Canis lupus familiaris: one gene and its partners. The protein of the gene in region 2 purifies or fractionates together with the protein of the main gene of each other region. This does not show direct contact. Links are inferred from orthologs where the notes say so. Each region holds a gene or a part of one and is shown on either strand. Other genes may lie near its edges. The genes, in order: KPNB1, KPNA6, RNMT, HDAC1 and CHD8.

Region 1 (3,515 bases), on a different chromosome or scaffold from region 2:
ACCTGGACTTTGAACCATGAGGTAGTTATCAGGAATAAATAAGAATATAAAGAATATAAATATCCTTTTAAAAAGCATAGATTACCTGGTACTCAGCATAATTTTTCAATCCAATGCCCAGGAAGGGTTTAAAGGCCTCCATGTACTTTAGGAATTCACCACCCAACACTGTAAAGAAACAAACTATTAGCATCACAGGGTATCACAGAAGTAAGCAAAAGTAACCATGCCTGCTCTCTCAAAACATATTTATTCCACTCAACAGGTTGGGCAGGTGAAGTGTAAGTTAACTGTGGATTCTATCATGAAGACAGGTTATCTCAGACAAGTCAAATTCCTAAGTGCTAGAAAGGCCTAACTCTTATGTCCTGAAGATAATGCCAAATCTCTAGAGTGGGATTTCACTTTGGCTAAACCCAACCAGCCAACCAAGGGTTTTTTTTTTCTCAAGGGTTAATTTTGAATTGGATGAGCTAATAACACTGCCTCTTTGGCTACCTCCTTCATCTGTTTACGCAACATGTCTTCTCTGGCGGCCAGCTTTAAAACAGGGTCCATCCTTGGGCAATTCCATCAAGGATTTATTTAACAAGCTAGCCAGGGAAAGCAGACTGGACTTTTTGCTCAATTAGCCACTCCAGGAGCCAAAGTGAACTTCTGTGCCCTATCAGGGTAGTTACATGTGGCCAGATCAACTCTCAGTTGAACATATGCTCCTAATGCTAGAAATAGGTCTGGTCCTCAGGTAATAGCTTTGGTCATACACCATCCAGGCCAACCCTGAAGAAGCATCTCAGGTTTCTTAAGAGCTCTTTAATGTGCTTCTAATGGCCCTTCAAAGAATCTTAAGCAGACATGGATTCCCCAATGCGATTTTGTAGAGTCAAACATAGAACAACCAGAAGACCAGTTAATTCTTAGAACTCTCAGTTTTTCACTCCATCCCATATGGAGCATGAGGATGTGTCAACATGGAAGTTCAAAGTATTATAACCCAAACCAGGAGGTACCAAGTGCCAAGAAGAAAATAGAAACCTTTGTTTCCTCTATCCTTGGAAAGGAGCCAAATCTCAATAAAGCAAGTAGACTTTCAGAGGAAAAATGAACCCAACAAATAAGAGGTAGATGATAACTGTTTTCCCCAAAAAACTCGCCAATCTGAGTTGCGGCTGGCTCTCCATTTATTTCAAGGAGAGCAGCAGGGCACTTGTGCATAAATTTACACTTACATTCAATCCAATTTTGCCCTCAAGTCATGCCTCAGTAAAAGAGAAGACGGGACCATGCTTTCTGTGATCAAAAGTGCCCCATGGCTGCTGGAAACTCTTACATTCTAAAGACATTCCCTGCCCAATTTTGGCTCACTGACCTTCCACCAGTGTGCTAACTGCCATTAGGGCATCCTCTTGCACTCCCCCAGACCCAGCTGTGCTTTGGAACATCCTCAACAGGGAGGCCATGACCACATCAGAGATCTGCAAAGCATCTTGATGTTGTACTTTCCGGAGAACATTCTGTGAAGTGAACAAGAGTTCAGGATCTGTTGATTCCAAACCCTCCAATCAGAATGCTATATATATATATACCTTTCTAAAAAATCAATTAAGCCCTGTGACTTTTTTTTGGAAGGGCCAAACAAACACACTTTTTGTGCTCAAAAGCTTTCGCAGTGTAAATCTTCTGCAACAAAACATACATTTTAATACCCTTCTATTTCCCAATTCAGAATGAAGACAAGATAATCTACCATGGTACATAAAGCTATCTCTTCTCCATTTCATTTATGTCTGACACACCCATTAGCAGTCTCCATATTGTAGTCTTTTGGAAAGGCAGTTGAATTTCTTTCAGCTTTAAAGAAGGACAGGTTATATAGTTCTTACTCATAAAACAAGAAAGCAATCCTTCCTGTATCTTATTTACTTATGACGGTCAAGAAACAGTTCTGGTAAAGTAAAGCCAACCTGAATTCCCCTAATTCAATATTCCTCACACCTCCCTCCTTACTCTTTAATTTGTTTCAACTAATGTTACCAGATCATTCCTGTATTTGATGACTAAGGAAAGATCTTAACAGTCAAGATATTAAAAAAACAGACTGTTTTTTTTTTTTTTTTTTTTTTTTTTACGTTTGGGTAAGAAAGAGAAAGGAGATGTACAGGGAAGATGACCAAGTTAGCATCACTCAATACTAAAACCTAGTATCCCCCTAAGCGATAGACATGTTCTAGGGTTTCCTGATCTTTGGTAAAAAGGGGAACAGCACCTCAGTCACTCCATCCAGGAGTCCAGTCATGAATGAGGAGTGATTTTAGTTTTTCCAGCCTCCCCTCAAAAAAGTCTATTCTGAACAACAGGTACTATAAAGGATTTAAATTATAATAAAGTTTCCAGTAGGAACTGTTGTTTCAGAATATGATGATAGAAACTCAAGGCTATATTTTTAGCTGAGTGAACCGCAGCTGGAAATCAGATCTGACTGGGCTACATTTGGACAACCCAATAAAAACCAAAGACTAGAAGCTGCCAGCACAAAATAGCTGTACAGCTGGGAGGACTGTCACAAACCAAGTAGTTGCCTTCCCTACTGCAAAAGACAAAGTCTGTCTTTATGGACAAAGAAGAAAGGAAAATAAAAAATCTCTCTCCCAATCAACCACAGATGAAGACCTTTTGAGAAGAGTTTCTGATCAGCATCAGTAAGTGATAAAGCACCGTCATACCTGAAGAGTGGCACAGAGCAAAGACTGAAGGTCATTGAATTGGATCCTGTCGGATGTGCTCTGGATGTGGGACTACAAGGAAAAGAACATTGTCATATTCTGAATAAACACCCTCTAAAAGAGTTCTAAACTCCTTTAGTGCTTCTGTTTTTGCTGGGTTTGCCAGGACCATCAAATAATCTTTACTGATGCTTGTCGGAAATAAAAAACTTACATATGTGTATGGTGTGAAGCGTGTAGGAGTAAATTGGGATGAGCAAAGCAGATTTTTAGTGGTATTATTTTGTATAAGCCTTCTATCTTTCTGAAAAAATACATACTTCCACGTAAACGTCAATACCACCAAGAGAGCATATGCCCCCGCCATACCAGCCTCACACCAGCCTCACCTCCATCTGAAGCACCTGCTGCAGTCGCTCCATGATAACCAGAGTAGTTTTCTGAACCGCGGGATAACAATCCTTGGCACTGTTTTTCACAATTTCCATCAGAGATTCATATGCAGAACTCCTCAGGTTGTTCTGGTGTCCATCAGGTCTGTAAAGAACACACAACAACAATCTAAAAGTCTTACCTGAAAAAGAATAGAGTTGTTATGATGTAAATCTTGTCTCACAGAAAATAAGGAATCCAGAAACCAATACGGTTGTAAATATGGTTGGAGTTTGGCAACACAATACAACCAGGAACCAAATTTTCAACTACTGAGCCAATGGCTCTATTTACTATGGATCTCCAGGCTCGGTTACACTTTAGAATGGCTCTGTGGAAATGGGACTAAAATTATGGGGG
Region 2 (3,515 bases):
ACTGTTAAGAAACTCTCTCACCTTTGCAAACTCTGGGGGTGGGTTCTTTCCTCTGCAGAGGTTTGATAGAGCCCAGACTGCATTCCGTGTCATTGTCAGTCTTGTGGACTTAGTAAGGAGTCTGAAGGAAACAGCAAAGCCAGACAGATCCTGAGCAATGATGACCTTGGCATGGGGCTGTCACCTATGAACCCCAGGAGCAAATCCAGTAAGACCCCTAAGACTCTGGCAGCCTCACTGTGTTCTTCTACCCACAGACCTAAGTAAACTAAGCTTGTTTGGGCCAAGAGGCCAATCTACACCTTCACAGAGGATTAGAACCAGCTGTGGCTAGTTAGGACCATAGCTTGTAAGGACAAAGAGCAAGCTGGAAGTTGAGTAAGACTGCAAACCTTTTTAAGATAGGGCATATTGTGCTCCTAAATGGCCACAAGTTTTTTTTTTTTTTTTTTTTTTTTTTAATGTTTATTTATTTATGATAGTCACAGAGAGAGAAAGAGAGAGAGGCAGAGACACAGACAGAGGGAGAAGCAGGCTCCATGCACCGGAAGCCCGACGTGGGATTCGATCCCGGGTCTCCAGGATCGTGCCCTGGGCCAAAGGCAGGCGCCAAACCGCTGCGCCACCCAGGGATCCCCCTAAATGGCCACAAGTTTTAAACGACGAGTATACTGTTCTCTTTGGAAATCAATGCTGAATATCTAGTATAAGGGCTTTAGCCATGCAGTAAGCAATGACTTTCTGTGAAAGGCCCAAGAAAGAGTTATAGTGGTAGTCTCTGAAGAACAGCTCATCCCTGGGCAGCCCTGGTGGCGCAGCGGTTTAGCGCCCCCTGCAGCCCGGAGTATGATCCTGGAGACCCTGGATCGAGTCCCACATCGGGCTTCCTGCATGGAGCCTGCTACTCCCTCTGCCTGTGTCTCTGCCTCTCTCTCGCTCTCTCTTAATGAATAAATAAATAAATCTTAAAAAAAAAAAAAAAGAACAGCTTATCCCATCTATTGTTTAGATACTCTATTTGAAGGGTATGGGAGGGAGGGATTGGAGAAGGATCCCTATGTCTTTTTTTTTTTTTTTTTTAATGATAGTCACAGAGAGAGAGAGGCAGAGACATAGGCAGAGGGAGAAGCAGGCTCCATGCACCAGGAGCCCGATGTGGGATTCGATCCCGGGTCTCCAGGACCGTGCCCTGGGCCAAAGGCAGGCGCTAAACCGCTGCGCCACCCAGGGATCCCCCTATGTCCTTTCATGGTGTCTTTAATCTGTGGTTTACAACAGAGCTCTCCAATGTACCTAGGCATAAAATAACAAATTAATGCATCTGTAGAGAAAGTTGCATTTTTCTATATGGGTTAGTCTTGCCTCTCTCTCCTGGCTCAACAATGAGGCAAGTAAGTATGACCAACATGAGAATCTACTGTGCAATGAAGAAAGGAAACAGAAGCTCCTCCTTGGCACAGACCAGTGGCACAATCTTCTTACTCTCAAAAAGAAATACTTTTAGTGTTTTTTTGCATTTACTTAACATCTTAAGGTAAGCTGCCCCCAAAGGATCTACCACATGGCTGCCTTATAGATGATGTCCCAGGTATAGATGATCATAATTACTCACGTTAACAAAGGATTAAGGATGGAACAGTTCAAGACGTAATCTCGGCAAACGGAGCTGTCTCCAGCTATGTTTCCCAGTGCCCAGACTGCCTGAAAAGGGGATGATGGAACTGTCATGCAGAGACAAATGGCTTCTGTCCATATTTTATACAAGAGTGAGGACACACCAATAACTTAGACAAAAACCATATCGAGGCCTGAGATATCCTGAACAGGATCAGGTCCTCTCTTTGCTGACGTCCTTACTGAGCTTGCTCTATGAAGGTCTTTCCTCGGAGAATTTCTGATTTAGTGGGAAAGACAGGCTGACATCCGTACTGCAGCCAAAGAAGCCAAACCAAGACCTCCCTATGCCTACTTCCCAGAAAAAAGAGAAAGTGAGAAGTTGCATTCCTGCAGCCTCACAGGATCTATCCTATATGTAGTAAGTGAGGAAAAAAAAAAAATCTAGGCGCCACGTTCTACATTCTATCCAATCAGTAAAAATCCACTGGAAGAAATTAAGTTGTCTTAATCACTGTGATATCTAGGTACTGATAAATGGGTACTGTGATGTTTTTGTTTTTTTCCCCCCAATACCACCTCTGATGCCAAATATGTGGAGTTTTTTTCTACACCAGCAATCAATTCTCCAACACCATTTGTATGTCCAACAATCCAACTCAATTGTGACACTCTTAGACTTAGTGCAGACCCTACAGGTTAAGGGCTCAGGCCCATGAGACTGTCTCCACTTCAGACACCAGTTGCAAAAAAAACAAAAAACAAACAAACAAAAAAAGACACCAGTTGCAATTCCCAAGTGTTGCCATGCTTCTGACCAACTGGCTATAAATTCAAAAGTTCCCATAATTCCCTTCTTAGGTTCAGTAATTCACTAGAATGATTCACAGAACTCAGGGAAAAACTGCTTACATTTACTAGCTTACTCTAATGGATACAGCTCAGAAGAGCTAAATGGAAGAGATGCATAGGGCAAGGTATGGGGTGAGCAGTCAGGGCGGTATGGAACTTCCATCCCCTCTCTAGGGCACCACACCAATGTGTTCACCAACCCAGAATTTCTCTGCAGGAGGCTGGGATAGAGGCATTGGTAGAGCTGGGAGTTCTGATAACTACTCTCCTCATGTTGAGGTTGCCTAGGGGCCCCACTCAATCATCTCATTAGGTGTGTTCCATCATAAATAATAAAAAACACACTCTTCACTCAGAAAATTCCAAGGTTTTTAGTAGTTTTTAGGAACTGGGTACAAAAACCAAACTTTTTAAAATTATAATATAGGTACCATCAGGAATTAAGCCAAATTTGGGCGTTACCTGTTCCTGTACATCCTCAAAGTCCGAGTTAAGCAGCTCTATAAAAATGGGGACTGCCCCTGCTTCAATGACAATCTTCGTCTGCTGAGAGGTTCCAGAGGCAATGTTCGTTAGAGCCCAGGCAGCTTCAAACTGCAAGTGAGATCAGACCGCTATTCAGAGATCATTCCAGAGTGGCCATGTCTGCAGCTGGTTGAGAGCTGTAAGCCTCTTGCCCCTGACCAAAAAACTAAAATATGAGCCTTTTCCTCTTCCCCCTTATTTTTATCTTAAGTAGCCTCCATATCCAGCATGGAGCCTAATGCAGGGCTTGAACTTACGACTCTGAGATCAAGACCTGAGTTGAGACAGAGTTGGATTCTCAAATGACTGAGCCACCACACAGGAACTACTTCCTCTTACTTTTTAAATAGCAAAAAGCAGGGGCACCTGGCTGGTTTCAGTCAGTGGAGCATGCAATTCTTGATCTTGGGGTTGTGAGTAATCACTACACTTAAGTGATTACTTACAAATAAAAATCTTTATTTAAAAACAAATTTTTAAAAAAAGGGATGCCTGGGATGCTCAGTGGTTAAGCACCTGCCTTT
Region 3 (4,149 bases), on a different chromosome or scaffold from region 2:
TATGAATAAAAAATAAATACATTCAACATACTTTTTGCTTTTCAGGAACATCCTCAAGTTCTATTTTTCTCTTCTTCTGTGTGCCATCTCCAGTAGAAGATTCATCTTTTGGAAAATCATCAGTTTCCATTCTTCTTTTCCTTGAAATGCCCTCATCATCACCAGAACCTTTTTCCTCTGGGACAATTTCAGCATCAAGTTTTCTTTTCTTGGTTGGAGTATCTTCCCCACAACTAGAACTTTCCTTTATAAGATCATCTTCAAATTCCATTTTTCTCTTTTTCGGTGCGTCTGCTTGTTCCCAGACAGGAGCCTTTTCAGAAAGTCCAGTCCCAGGAGTGGTTGTGTTTTCATTAATACTGAATGAAGACTTTGTTTCCAAATCTTTTGATGCTTTTGCCTCTTCGAGAGAGAGCTTTTCACACTCTTCTGCTTTTGCAGAATTTTCCATTTTTGATTACTTAAGTAGGTGGCAAAACTTCATGAACTAAGACTGGAATGGCAAAAATTTGATTTTACTCATACAAACACTAATGCCGAAAGTTTAAAACAATTTTAACCAGAAGCTAGCCATTTAATTCAGTAATCAGCTAGGAGTTTAAATAAATCTCATTACAGAGAGAATACTGAAATCATTAACTGATATATGTCACATATGAACCTCTGAATATTTTAATATGGAAATACTAATTATAATCCCTAAACATACGTATGATCTTACCCCTAAGTCATTACTGGCATTGAAACGGACAGATGAAGTAGGTCTTACACAAGCATTTGTTCCATTTCTGTTTGGATTCTTACTTTATAGCCTGAGTTCTCAAACTGTGAGCTGGACGCTGTGACAAACTTGTACAGGTACAGCAGGGTATTCTAAAAGTCTAAGCAACACAGCTTCACATAGAGCAGTTTCCACGGAGTAGAGAGCACTGCATTCCTTTCAATGACAGTAGCACTTGTGCGAAGCTGGTATTTTGGGGGATTCCACATGAAATCAATGTGAAACTGCAAACGAAGTTGGCAACGTCAAATCTGATCTCACAGCTTGAGAAACTGGACAGTACCCAACAGGGGTACACGTTCCACCAGGAAGCACTTAGGGCTAACTAAGAATTAGACACAAATACTATTTTTTCCTTTCAATTTGTGTATTAGTTTTTAGACAAGGTCGTTAAAACATAAATACTAAATTCTTTAGACTGAACTACTTACTAAGTGGAACTGCGGGGTGTTTCTTCTGGCCTAGTGACACTGAAATAAAAAAAAAAAGAAAGAAATCATAAACACTAAAGGTACCAGGAACAGGATAAGCCTGGGAACCGACGGTTGACTTCTGAAATGCTTACTTCATAGTGGGAGCCTGAATTAGAAAGTGAAGAGAGTAGAGATAGCTTTGGACAAGAGGTCTGGAAACCTGGTCTGCAACTTACTATTGAGTCTCCTTCAAATGCTCATGGGCCTGTGTGTAAAATGGAAGGGATGGAGGAGTAAGAGCTATGGGGCAGGGACTTACTAGGTTGTTCCATGATCCCACTGTCCTTCCTACTACAGAGGACCTCAGGGCACTGGGTGATTCGTGTCCATGAGGCTCACAGCCATGGGGTCTCGAGGGCTCGGTGCCTGCGGCCCACAGCATGACCCCAGGTCCCAGGATGGAGGCCGGCATTGAGCTCCCTGCAGGGAGCCTGTGTGTCCCTCTGCCTGGGTCTCTCCCTCTTTCTGTGTCTCTGCCTCTCTCTGTGTCTGTGTCTCCCTCTGCCTGTGTCTCTGCCTCTCTGTCTCCGTTGACCTGTGTCTCTGTGTCTCCCTCTGTGTCTCTGAGTCTCCGTCTGCCTGTCTCTGCCTGTCTGTGTCTCCCTCTGCCTGTATCTCTGCCTCTCTGTCTCCGTCTGTGTCTCTGTGTCTCCCTCTGCCTGTGTCTACCTGTCTCTGCGTGTCCCTCTGTGTCTCTGTCTCTGTGTCTCCGTCTGCCTGTCTCTGTCTCTCTGTGTCTCCCTCTGCCTGTGTCTCTGTCTCTCTGTCTCTGTCCCTCTCTGTGTCTACCTGTGTCTCTGTGTCTCTGCGTGTCCCTCTGCCTCTCGGTCTCCATCTACCTGTGTCTCTGCCTCTCTCATGAATGAATAAAATCTTAAGAAAAAAAAAAAAAAAAAAGCTTCACCCTAGACAGCAGTTTTAAGGCGTGAGGCTGTGTTATCGGAACCAAACGTAGAAGGGGGAGCCCGGAGCCCGAAGCCTGGGGAGATTCAGCAAATTCATGACCGGAACGTTACGGGGCTCCGGGCGGGAAGCGGCGGGCAGCGGGGGGCCCCGGGGATCGCAGCTGCGGGCCCGGGCGCAGGCGGCGAGGGCGACGCCACCAGCCGGGGAGAGCGGGGTCGGAGGAGCGCGCGAGGCGGAGGCGCCGTCTCCGGGAGCCGCGGCCGCAGCGACCCGAGCGGCCCGGGCTCCGCGACGCCCCGCGGCCCAGGGCGACCCCGTTGGGCCGAGCGGACGGCCGCCCGGAGCACCCCGAGGTCACGGGCCCGGCCTCGCGGGGCTGCACCTGCGCCGCCCCTCCCCCCCGCCGCCCGCCGCCCCCGGGCCCCGCCGCCCCCCGCCCGCCCCGGCCCGCCCCGTCCGCGTGCGAGGCCCGTCGCGAGAGTGAGGGGCCCCGGGGCCGCGGCGGCCGCGGGGCGGCTGGAAACAAAGAGCGGCCGTAGCGCCGGGCGCCGCACTCACTCACCCACGCAGGCGGCCACGGCTCTGTTTGCGGAAGCGGCCGGCCGCGCCGCGCGCGTGCTGTGACGCCACTTCCGGGGCGGGGTCGGCGCCGGGACGCCGCGGTCGCCGGCCGGTGGAGCGAGCGCCGCGCGAGCCTCGCGCCGGAACTACGAGTCCCGTGGTGCCGCGCGCGGGGCCTGGCGAGGGCGCGCGGTGCCGCATGGGCCGCCGCACGCACGCCGTTGGTGGGCGCGGCGGGAGGGCGGGCGGCCGCGGAGGCCGGGGAGGGCCGGCGAGGGGTGGCCCCGTGGCTTCCGGCGCCCTGACCCGCGCTCGACCGGGTCACTGTCCCGGTGACTCCGCCGCGGCTTCGGAGACCTGCCTTTCGGCCCGTGCGGCAGGACGGGACCCGGCGGGGCGTCAGCCTCCTGAGAGGTAGCCTGGGCCCCGGAGCGCCGACAGCTGCGGGAGGGGTCAGGCACCTGCCCGCGGGGCGCGCCCCCGCCGCCCCCGCCCCCGCCCCCCCTCCCCGGCCGGGGTCCGCCACGCGCGCCCCGCAGCCCCCGCCCTCGTCTGACCGAGCGGGGCCTGGGGGACTGGAGCCGGCTCCGGTCCGGGCCTCCCTCCGCTCTGCTCTCCGTCGGAGCACGGCTGCCGAGGGGCCGGGGAGCCGCGCCGTGGAGTCGTCCTCGAAGGCGGCGGGCCCTGGCTCGTCCCTGCGGCCTCCGGGGATGCCGGGGGATGCCGGGGGATGCCGGGGGATGCCGGGCACGGCCCGCGGGGACGGGACGGACCGCCTGACTCCGCACGTCCGCAGGCCTCCCGGGTCTCCCGGATCTCCGGGGTCTCCCAGGTCTCCTAGATCTCTCGGGGTCTCCCAAATCTCTTGGATCTCCCAGTCTCTTGGATCTCCCAGTTCGCCCTGATCTCCCAGGTCTCTCAGGTCTCCCAGATCTCCTAGGTCTCCTAGATCTCTCAGATCTCCCGGGATCTCCCTGATCTCCTAGATCTCCCGGGGTCTCCCAGGTCTCCTAGATCTCCCGGGTCTCCCAGATCTCCCAGATCTCCTAGATCTCCCAGGTCTCCTAGATCTCCCAGGTCGCCCAGATCTCCCAGGTCTCTCAGGTCTCCCAGATCTCCTAGGTCTCCTAGATCTCTCAGATCTCCCGGGGTCTCCCAGGTCTCCTAGATCTCCCGGGTCTCCCAGATCTCCCAGATCTCCTAGATCTCAGGTCTCCTGGGGTCTCCCAGGTCTCCCAGATCTCTTGGATCTCCCAGGTCTCCTAGATCTCCCAGGTCACGGAGGTCTCCCAGGTCTCCTAGATCTCCCAGGTCGCCCAGATCTCCTAGGTCTCTCAGGTCTCCCAGATCTCCAGATCTCTCAGGTCTCCCAGATCTCCTGGTCTCCTAGATCTCTCAGATCTGCCGGGATCTCCTAGATTTCCCAGG
Region 4 (2,541 bases), about 140 kb from region 2:
GGACACTGCCCCTGTCTAGGTTTTTATAAATGTCTTACTCAAGTTCAAACCTCCAGCTTGTGAATCGACTGTGTCTCTTTTTTGACTTGGTAAGCAAGTATTAGGCTTTGGGGTGGGGGGGAGGTCTGTAATGTGAAACAACTTCTTGTTGTCTTTTTTTTTCCCCCTCCCATTGTTGTAAATAACTTTTAATGGCCAAACCCCAGATTTGTACTTTTTTTTTTTTTTCTAACTGCTAAAACCATTCTCTTCCACCTGGTTTTACTGTAACATTTGGAAAAGGAATAAATGTCGTCCCTTTAGTAGTGCTTTTTAATGAGTGGTCTTCTGGGGGTAGGGTGAGAAGATCGGTTAACCTCAACCCTTGTGGGAGGGATTAGGGTGAAGGTTAAGTTTGTGGGGTTGTTTCCTTGTTCATGGAGTTGCCCAGATTCTCCTGGACACGAGAAGGGCAGGGAAGTGGAGTTGAAATCAACCCAGGGATACTGCTAGGAGACAAGCTCAGGAGGATGTAGAAATGTACCATTTTATTACAAAGATTCTCATGAAAATGAAAATAGTATCTCAAAAAAGGATACCTGACTTATCAATCTCCACCTGCAGAACTGGGCAAGGATAGAGGGCAGGCAGTGAGTTCCTTGGCTCACATGGGGCCAGTGGGAAGGTATGATAAGAGAACCAATCTAAAAATGGCTGATGTTACCTTAAGGAGCCTGATGGGAGGGTCCCAGAAGACCCAGCCACTCCTAGAATGCTCAATGAGGGCACCTTTCCAAAGCTACGAAGCAGGCACTTGGCATTTCTGGATTTTGTCCTATGGCTGCTTAAAAGCATGCCTTCCAGAACCGGTACCCTTTATGGTTCAAAATTAAGAACTGGGGAAGGATGGGTGGCGAGGCAGCCACTAGAAAAGCTCACTCATAATGTGTGCCCTAGGCTCAGGGCCCTGGTTCCTGTCTAGTCCCTGGGGATATTTATATTTAATATATTTTTATATAAATACACAGAGAAATAGAAAATATAAAATCTGAGGGGTTGTGGGAGAAAGGTGGGGAACTTGGCAGGAAACCAGAACTGGAGAGGTCTGCTCAGGCCAACTTGACCTCCTCCTTGACCCTGTGGAGAGAGCAGAGACTGGCATGAGATAACGTGCCCCAGAGGCCTGGAGGCAAAAATACGGGGACAATGACTTCTATAGGACCCCAGCTGCCCAGGTGACTGCCGAGGGCTGGGGCTTCCTAGCTCTGCCTAGAACTGCAGAGACAGACAGACTGGTCCCTGAAAGAGGTCTTTGTAAGCTGCACCAGCTGTCCCTGCGCCTCCCTCGGCAGGGCGGACAAAGGGGCTGGTGCTCCAATGCCAGGGAGATGGCCGACAGCTCCTTCCTCACCCTTTGGCTTCTTGCTTCTCCTCCTTGGTTTTCTCCTCTTCTGTGACTTCTAGAACATAAGAGTGCAGGGATGGCCAAGGCTCCCCTCCAGAAAGACCCATGGAATCTTCACTTAGGCTGAACCCCCTTCCCCAACACAGCTCACTGGACATACAAAAGAGAAAAGCCCATCCCAGGCCCTCCCCCTTGAGCCCTGCAGAGAACAAACAGGTTGGACCGGTTTCCCAGCCTGCTAGTGCCTGAACCCGGTGGGCGGGGGCAGCCCCCTGGGAACCTGGGGTGAAGCACTGGGAAAGGGGCTTGGGTGGTGTGTGAGAGCCACACTCCTGACCATGGGGAGACTAGGCATGTCCCTGGCTCTGGAGCCTGGCAGGGCTCAACCGGCCAGTGCAGATAACAAATTGAATTTCATTCTTTTGTGGGTCCTGCTGTTTCTGGGGGTGGAGGCAGAACCCCAACAGAAGGCAGGGCCTGAGTCAGCTCCCTCCTAGAGCCCTACATACATTCATCCTCCTCTGGGGCCTGGGGCTCAAGACCCAAGTCTGGGCATGACCCAAACCCACCTTTCTTCTCTTCTGGGTCTTTCTCTTTTTCGTCCTCAGTTTTGACTCTCTTGGCTTTTTTGAAGTTGGAAGAGTTCTTACGACCACCTTCTCCCTCCTCATCAGAGTCCGAGAACTCTTCCTCACAGGCAATTCGTTTGTCAGATGAACAGACTGGGAGGCAATGGGAAATGTAAGTGAGACAGCAGGAGATCAGCTTTACCTCAAGGTCTGTGCCCAGTGCTTCCCTGTGTGTCCTCCAAGAGACACCAAGGGAAGGGGGTGACTAAGAAGAGGGGAAGGAAACTCAGACTCCCTAAATTGTCCCAAGAACTAGAACATGGGTTTCTCAACAGATGAGTAGCTTAGGAGGAACATGGAACCAAGAACAGGGGTGGGAAGCCAGAGCTACCTACTGAACGGGAAGGTACCGCCCCCGGATCTGGGTCTTACTAGAGATGCGCTTGTCAGGGTCTTCTTCGTCCTCGTCGCCACTCTCCTCTGGAATGGCATCCTCAGGAATCACCTGCATTTGGACCCCAGGTGCGTGGGGCAGCATTCTCAGGTTCTCAAACAGTCGCTGTCTATGGCCAATGGTAGAGAGGGTGG
Region 5 (4,150 bases), on a different chromosome or scaffold from region 2:
TAAAAAAAAAAAAAAAAAAAAGCCTCAACAGGGGATCCCTGGGTGGCGCAGTGGTTTAGCACCTGCCTTTGGCCCGGGGCGTGATCCTGGAGACCCGGAATCAAATCCCACGTCGGGCTCCCGGTGCATGGAGCCTGCTTCTCCCTCTGCCTGTGTTTCTGCCTCTCTCTCTCTCTGTGACTATCATAAATAAATAAAAAATTAAAAAAAAAAAAAAAAAGCCTCAACAGGGATGCCTGGGTGGCTCAGCAGGTTGAGCATCTGCCTTTGGCTCAGGGGGTGATCCTGGACTCCCCAGATCAAGTCCCACTTTGGGCTCCCTGCACGGAGGCTGCTTCTCCCTCTGCCTGTATCTCTGCCTCATTCTCTGTGTCTCTCATGAGTAAATAAATAAAATCTTAAAAAAAAAGAAAAGAAAAAAAGAAGAAGCTTCAGTTAGAAGCAAAAAAAAGCCCCAATAGTAGTGAATTAAAAACAAAAAGTAAAGGGCACAAAATTGTAACAGGAGGATGAAAGGAAGACCACCAACTTTGTGAGGAAAAAGAATAAAAAATTAATTGAAAAAAATATATATAAAGTTAAGCCAAGAAAAATGAGAAATGATGCTATATTATTGAATCGACTGCTAATGGTAAAACAGTAAATACTAGGTCCGTCACAGTCGTGCAAGGCAGGTCATGCAAAGACCTGCAGATCCGGGACTTGCCCAAATGCAGGTTCAGAAGTGGCGTGACCCTTAGGGTTAAGGATGCGGGGCCAGAAAATATCTGAGTTGTTTATCCTCCAGGTATCAGGTCAATGCAGGCTCAGAAGACAGCTGGACTCTTGCAGGGCGGTGGACAAACAGTATCTTGGAAGCATTAACGATCATCTCTGTGTTCTACAAACGTTACGGTCCTTCCACAGATGATAATATCAAATCTCATTCTTTCAGTAAACAAGTGTAGTTCTCCGCACCCACACAGTAATCTTAAGTGGTAGTTTAGCTTAAAACAAAACAAAACAAAACAAAAAAAACTCCCCCTCGTCAAAAGAGATGGGTACAACAGTCTCTTTTAAAGACTGACTCGCCTCACCATCCTACCTTGACTACGGGGCAACTATCCTACCTGTCAGACCCCTCATATTAAGTGTCAAAGCTCTTTCCTCTTCTAACCAAACCCCTGCAATGGTGGTGACCACAAAGCCGAGATTTCCCCACCCAGTCATCTGCTGGCGCTGCAGAGGCTATCCCAGAAAATACATCTACGTTTCCTGGCGATTCACAGCAACTCAAATTGCTTTCCATTTCTAGCCTTTTCTATCCACGTCTAAATAAGTGGATTCTGTCAATTTGGGAACGGACAAAATCAAAAGGCCAGATGCACAGGTCGGACCACACCTGCGGGAGGTGTGAGTTGTGCAAGTACCCACATGCTATTCCATCGAATCCCTGCTCCGGTGTTACACCTTCCCCGGGGCCTGATGCACCGCACACGCCTACCCTCTCTTTGGCCCGCGGCCTTCCTCATGCCTTGCCCCTCTTGGTCTCCTTATACAGAATAATGTTTTCTTTAGGAACCCGTTTTAAAGGAGGTGGGATGAGTCCAAAACACCACGATTTTCTTGGAAGCCTGTTTGGTGAGCCCTACCAACGAAATTCCCGGGCAGAAGACGGTAGCTCATTAACTGACAGAGCCCTCCGGCGTCTCGAGGGTCCCGAACCGGACAGGCCAGGGAATCCCTACCTGAGCTGACAGGCCCGGAGCAACAGAGGAGAGCGATCGTGTGTGGATGCCGGTTGTGAGGGGAGGATGCAGGAGAGCCTGGCCGCGCTGGGGTCTGGAGCCCTGCGCCAGGACGCCTCATGGAGCTCCAGGTCTCCGACTCCCAGCTCCCTACGCTCAGTCGCTGGGAGAAACGGCCGACCCGCTGGACATGCATGCACCTGCCTTGCACTCCTCGGAAGACCTTCCTCCCTTCGCGACCGCCGCTTAAAGGCAAGAGCTGCTGCTGCTGCTGCTGCTGCTGCTGAGGCTGCAATGGCTGGAAAATTCTCTGTGACACTAGACACAGGTAAACGAAGGGCCGGCATCCGCTCCGAGGCAGGGGGAGGGGTCTCCGGCCCGGGAAGAGTTTACATAACGCCAGGCCGGGCCCCGCGGGCTCTGCGGACCTGTCAACGGAGACGCGAGGCCTGAGCGGCCCTGTCGCCGCCGCCTCTCCACACGCACCCCCGCGGTGCTCGCACCCGGTAACCGGCAACGAAGGCGCCGGCCCGCCCCGAGCTTTCCGACCCACCTCCATCGTCGGAACAAAACCAACAAACAAGAGAGAGAGAGAAAAAAAAAAAAGAAAAAGAAAGAAACGAAAAAAAAAAAAAAAGCCACCACAACCACCCTGACCTCCCACTTCTGGGTCCAAAGCGCGGTGACCCGGGAGCCGGGGGGTCTCGTCGCCGCCGCCAGCGCGCACCACGCCCGGGACGCGCTGACAGGCCCCGGCGCCCCCCGGCCCCTCACAAAGAGAAGGGGGCGGCCCGGAGCAGCCCCCTGCGCCTGACCCCTCACGCCCCGGCGGCGCGGGGAGCGGGGAGCGCGGCGCGGGCGGGCCGGGGGCTCCCAGGGGCCCGCCCCGGGCGCCGCGGCCGCGCAGGGGCCCCCGGCGCAGCGCTGACGAGCCGGCGCGAGCAGGAGCCCTACCTGAGCCAGTCCTGCAGCGTCCCTGCCAGCCAGCGCTTCCCCTCACCGCGTCGGAGAACAAGGCGCCTTCCGGCGGAGCATGGCCAGCCCTCGCCTCAACCTAGCTTGCTGGCAGTCCGTACGCCGCAGGCCTCGCCCACCTCCGGGCCGCCTGCCAATGGCAGGGCCGGCCCCGCCCCCCAGCAAGGTAGTGTGAGCGCCATCCCGGAAGTCCCCGGAGGCGGGGAGGTCCTGCAGGGCCTAGAGGGGTACGTAGGCAACCACGGATGTGCCTGAGTGGAAATAAGATCTGGCGGCCGCGGGCCCTGCTGCTCGGCTCGCGGGCGTGCGGGCCCCCGCCAGCTGCGCCCCCGCCCGCCACCGCTGGGGGCGCTGCGGGCCGCGCGGCCTGGCCCCGAGCGGGGGCGGCCATCTTGGGTCGGGCCGCGGGGACGCGGAAGCCGGGGCGGGCCGAGCCGACGTGCTTTGTGCGGTCCGGCCGGGCGGTCGGGAGCGGGGCCCGGTGCGGTCGGCGGCGGCCCCCCCACCGTGGGAGGGAGGAGACCCACGCGTCACGGCAGCACTAAAAACAGTATTTATTTATTTATTTATTTTGGAATGCGAACGGGTTCCCGCGCAGCCACAGGGTGACCCTCCGTGCCCCCGCCGCCCCGGGGCCCGCTGGGGGCACTTCCGGCCCGCGGAGCCCCAGGTCACGTGGGGGATGGCGCGGGCGGGGCCGCGGTCGAGGCAGCGCGCCCCGCGGCCCGGGAGCCCCGGCCACCAGCTTGGGTGGAGGGAGCACCGACCGTGTCTAGTTTGCGTCTTCGGCCCGAACGAGGCCCGCCGCAGGAAGCCGCGGTGGGCGATAGGGGAGGGGACGGCCTGCCCAGGAGGCCTCCGCCCGCGGAGACCTGTAAGTACCGGGCTGCACGGCTCGCCCCGAGCGGGACCCCAGCGGCCCCACCTCCTCCTTTTCCAAGTTTTCCCAAGGTGGGGCCTGAACTCAGGACCCCGAGATCAACAGTCCGTTTCCCGGGACCCCGGGGTCCCGAGATCGAGTCCCGCGTCGGGCCCCCTGCGTGGAGCCTGCTTCTCCTTCCGCCTTTGTCTCTGCCTTTCTCTGTGTGTCTCTCATGAACAAATAAATAAATAAAATATATTCTTAAAAAAAGAGTACCTTTCTCTATCACCTGAGCCGGACGTGTGCCCCGGTGCTGGCCTTTGACAGCCAAGCATGCCCTCATCAGACCTCCCCTTCTTCACACGGGCTGGGGAATCTACTTCCTATCATGTTTCATGACCATGACCGTGTCTCTGATCACCAGCAACGATCAATAGAGGTCATGAATTTGCCCAAGTAACTTTCCTCATGCTTCCCTTACATGGATGAAATACCCAAGTATAGAAGGTTAGGAGTGTTCTGGGGTTCTTTTAAGTTTAAATTTTTTTTTTTTTTTTTAAGTAATCTCGGCACCCAACATGGAGTT

The links.
Region 1: the proteins of KPNA6 (region 2) and KPNB1 purify together in Homo sapiens (affinity purification with mass spectrometry; 4 studies listed by BioGRID and IntAct, with this or other methods). This does not show direct contact. The link is inferred for Canis lupus familiaris from reciprocal best matches to the Homo sapiens genes KPNA6 and KPNB1.
Region 3: the proteins of KPNA6 (region 2) and RNMT purify together in Homo sapiens (co-immunoprecipitation; 3 studies listed by BioGRID and IntAct, counting the BioPlex papers as one, with this or other methods). This does not show direct contact. The link is inferred for Canis lupus familiaris from reciprocal best matches to the Homo sapiens genes KPNA6 and RNMT.
Region 4: the proteins of KPNA6 (region 2) and HDAC1 purify together in Homo sapiens (affinity purification with mass spectrometry; 3 studies listed by BioGRID and IntAct, with this or other methods). This does not show direct contact. The link is inferred for Canis lupus familiaris from reciprocal best matches to the Homo sapiens genes KPNA6 and HDAC1.
Region 5: the proteins of KPNA6 (region 2) and CHD8 purify together in Homo sapiens (affinity purification with mass spectrometry; 4 studies listed by BioGRID and IntAct, with this or other methods). This does not show direct contact. The link is inferred for Canis lupus familiaris from reciprocal best matches to the Homo sapiens genes KPNA6 and CHD8.

Annotation. Positions count from the first base shown.
Region 1 is NC_049230.1:23,971,767-23,975,281, reverse strand, and holds part of KPNB1 (importin subunit beta-1), read right to left. Parts: intron 3,261-3,515; coding exon 3,113-3,260; intron 2,796-3,112; coding exon 2,724-2,795; intron 1,515-2,723; coding exon 1,370-1,514; intron 169-1,369; coding exon 86-168; intron 1-85.
Region 2 is NC_049223.1:68,434,546-68,438,060, forward strand, and holds part of KPNA6 (importin subunit alpha-7), read right to left. Parts: intron 3,061-3,515; coding exon 2,929-3,060; intron 1,702-2,928; coding exon 1,613-1,701; intron 122-1,612; coding exon 22-121; intron 1-21. UniProt on the Homo sapiens protein: Functions in nuclear protein import as an adapter protein for nuclear receptor KPNB1. Binds specifically and directly to substrates containing either a simple or bipartite NLS motif.
Region 3 is NC_049222.1:24,608,174-24,612,322, forward strand, and holds the start of RNMT (mRNA cap guanine-N7 methyltransferase), read right to left. Parts: upstream 2,808-4,149; 5' UTR 2,723-2,807; intron 2,346-2,722; exon of another isoform or gene 2,159-2,345; intron 1,718-2,158; exon of another isoform or gene 1,514-1,717; intron 1,252-1,513; 5' UTR 1,213-1,251; intron 494-1,212; 5' UTR 452-493; coding exon 32-451; intron 1-31. UniProt on the Homo sapiens protein: Catalytic subunit of the mRNA-capping methyltransferase RNMT:RAMAC complex that methylates the N7 position of the added guanosine to the 5'-cap structure of mRNAs. Binds RNA containing 5'-terminal GpppC.
Region 4 is NC_049223.1:68,298,507-68,301,047, forward strand, and holds the end of HDAC1 (histone deacetylase 1), read right to left. Parts: intron 2,517-2,541; coding exon 2,386-2,516; intron 2,107-2,385; coding exon 1,954-2,106; intron 1,440-1,953; coding exon 1,391-1,439; intron 1,117-1,390; coding exon 1,089-1,116; 3' UTR 502-1,088; downstream 1-501. UniProt on the Homo sapiens protein: Histone deacetylase that catalyzes the deacetylation of lysine residues on the N-terminal part of the core histones (H2A, H2B, H3 and H4).
Region 5 is NC_049236.1:18,615,717-18,619,866, forward strand, and holds the start of CHD8 (chromodomain-helicase-DNA-binding protein 8), read right to left. Parts: upstream 2,802-4,150; 5' UTR 2,682-2,801; intron 2,156-2,681; exon of another isoform or gene 1,924-2,155; coding exon of another isoform or gene 1,728-1,923; intron 1-1,727. UniProt on the Homo sapiens protein: ATP-dependent chromatin-remodeling factor, it slides nucleosomes along DNA; nucleosome sliding requires ATP. Acts as a transcription repressor by remodeling chromatin structure and recruiting histone H1 to target genes.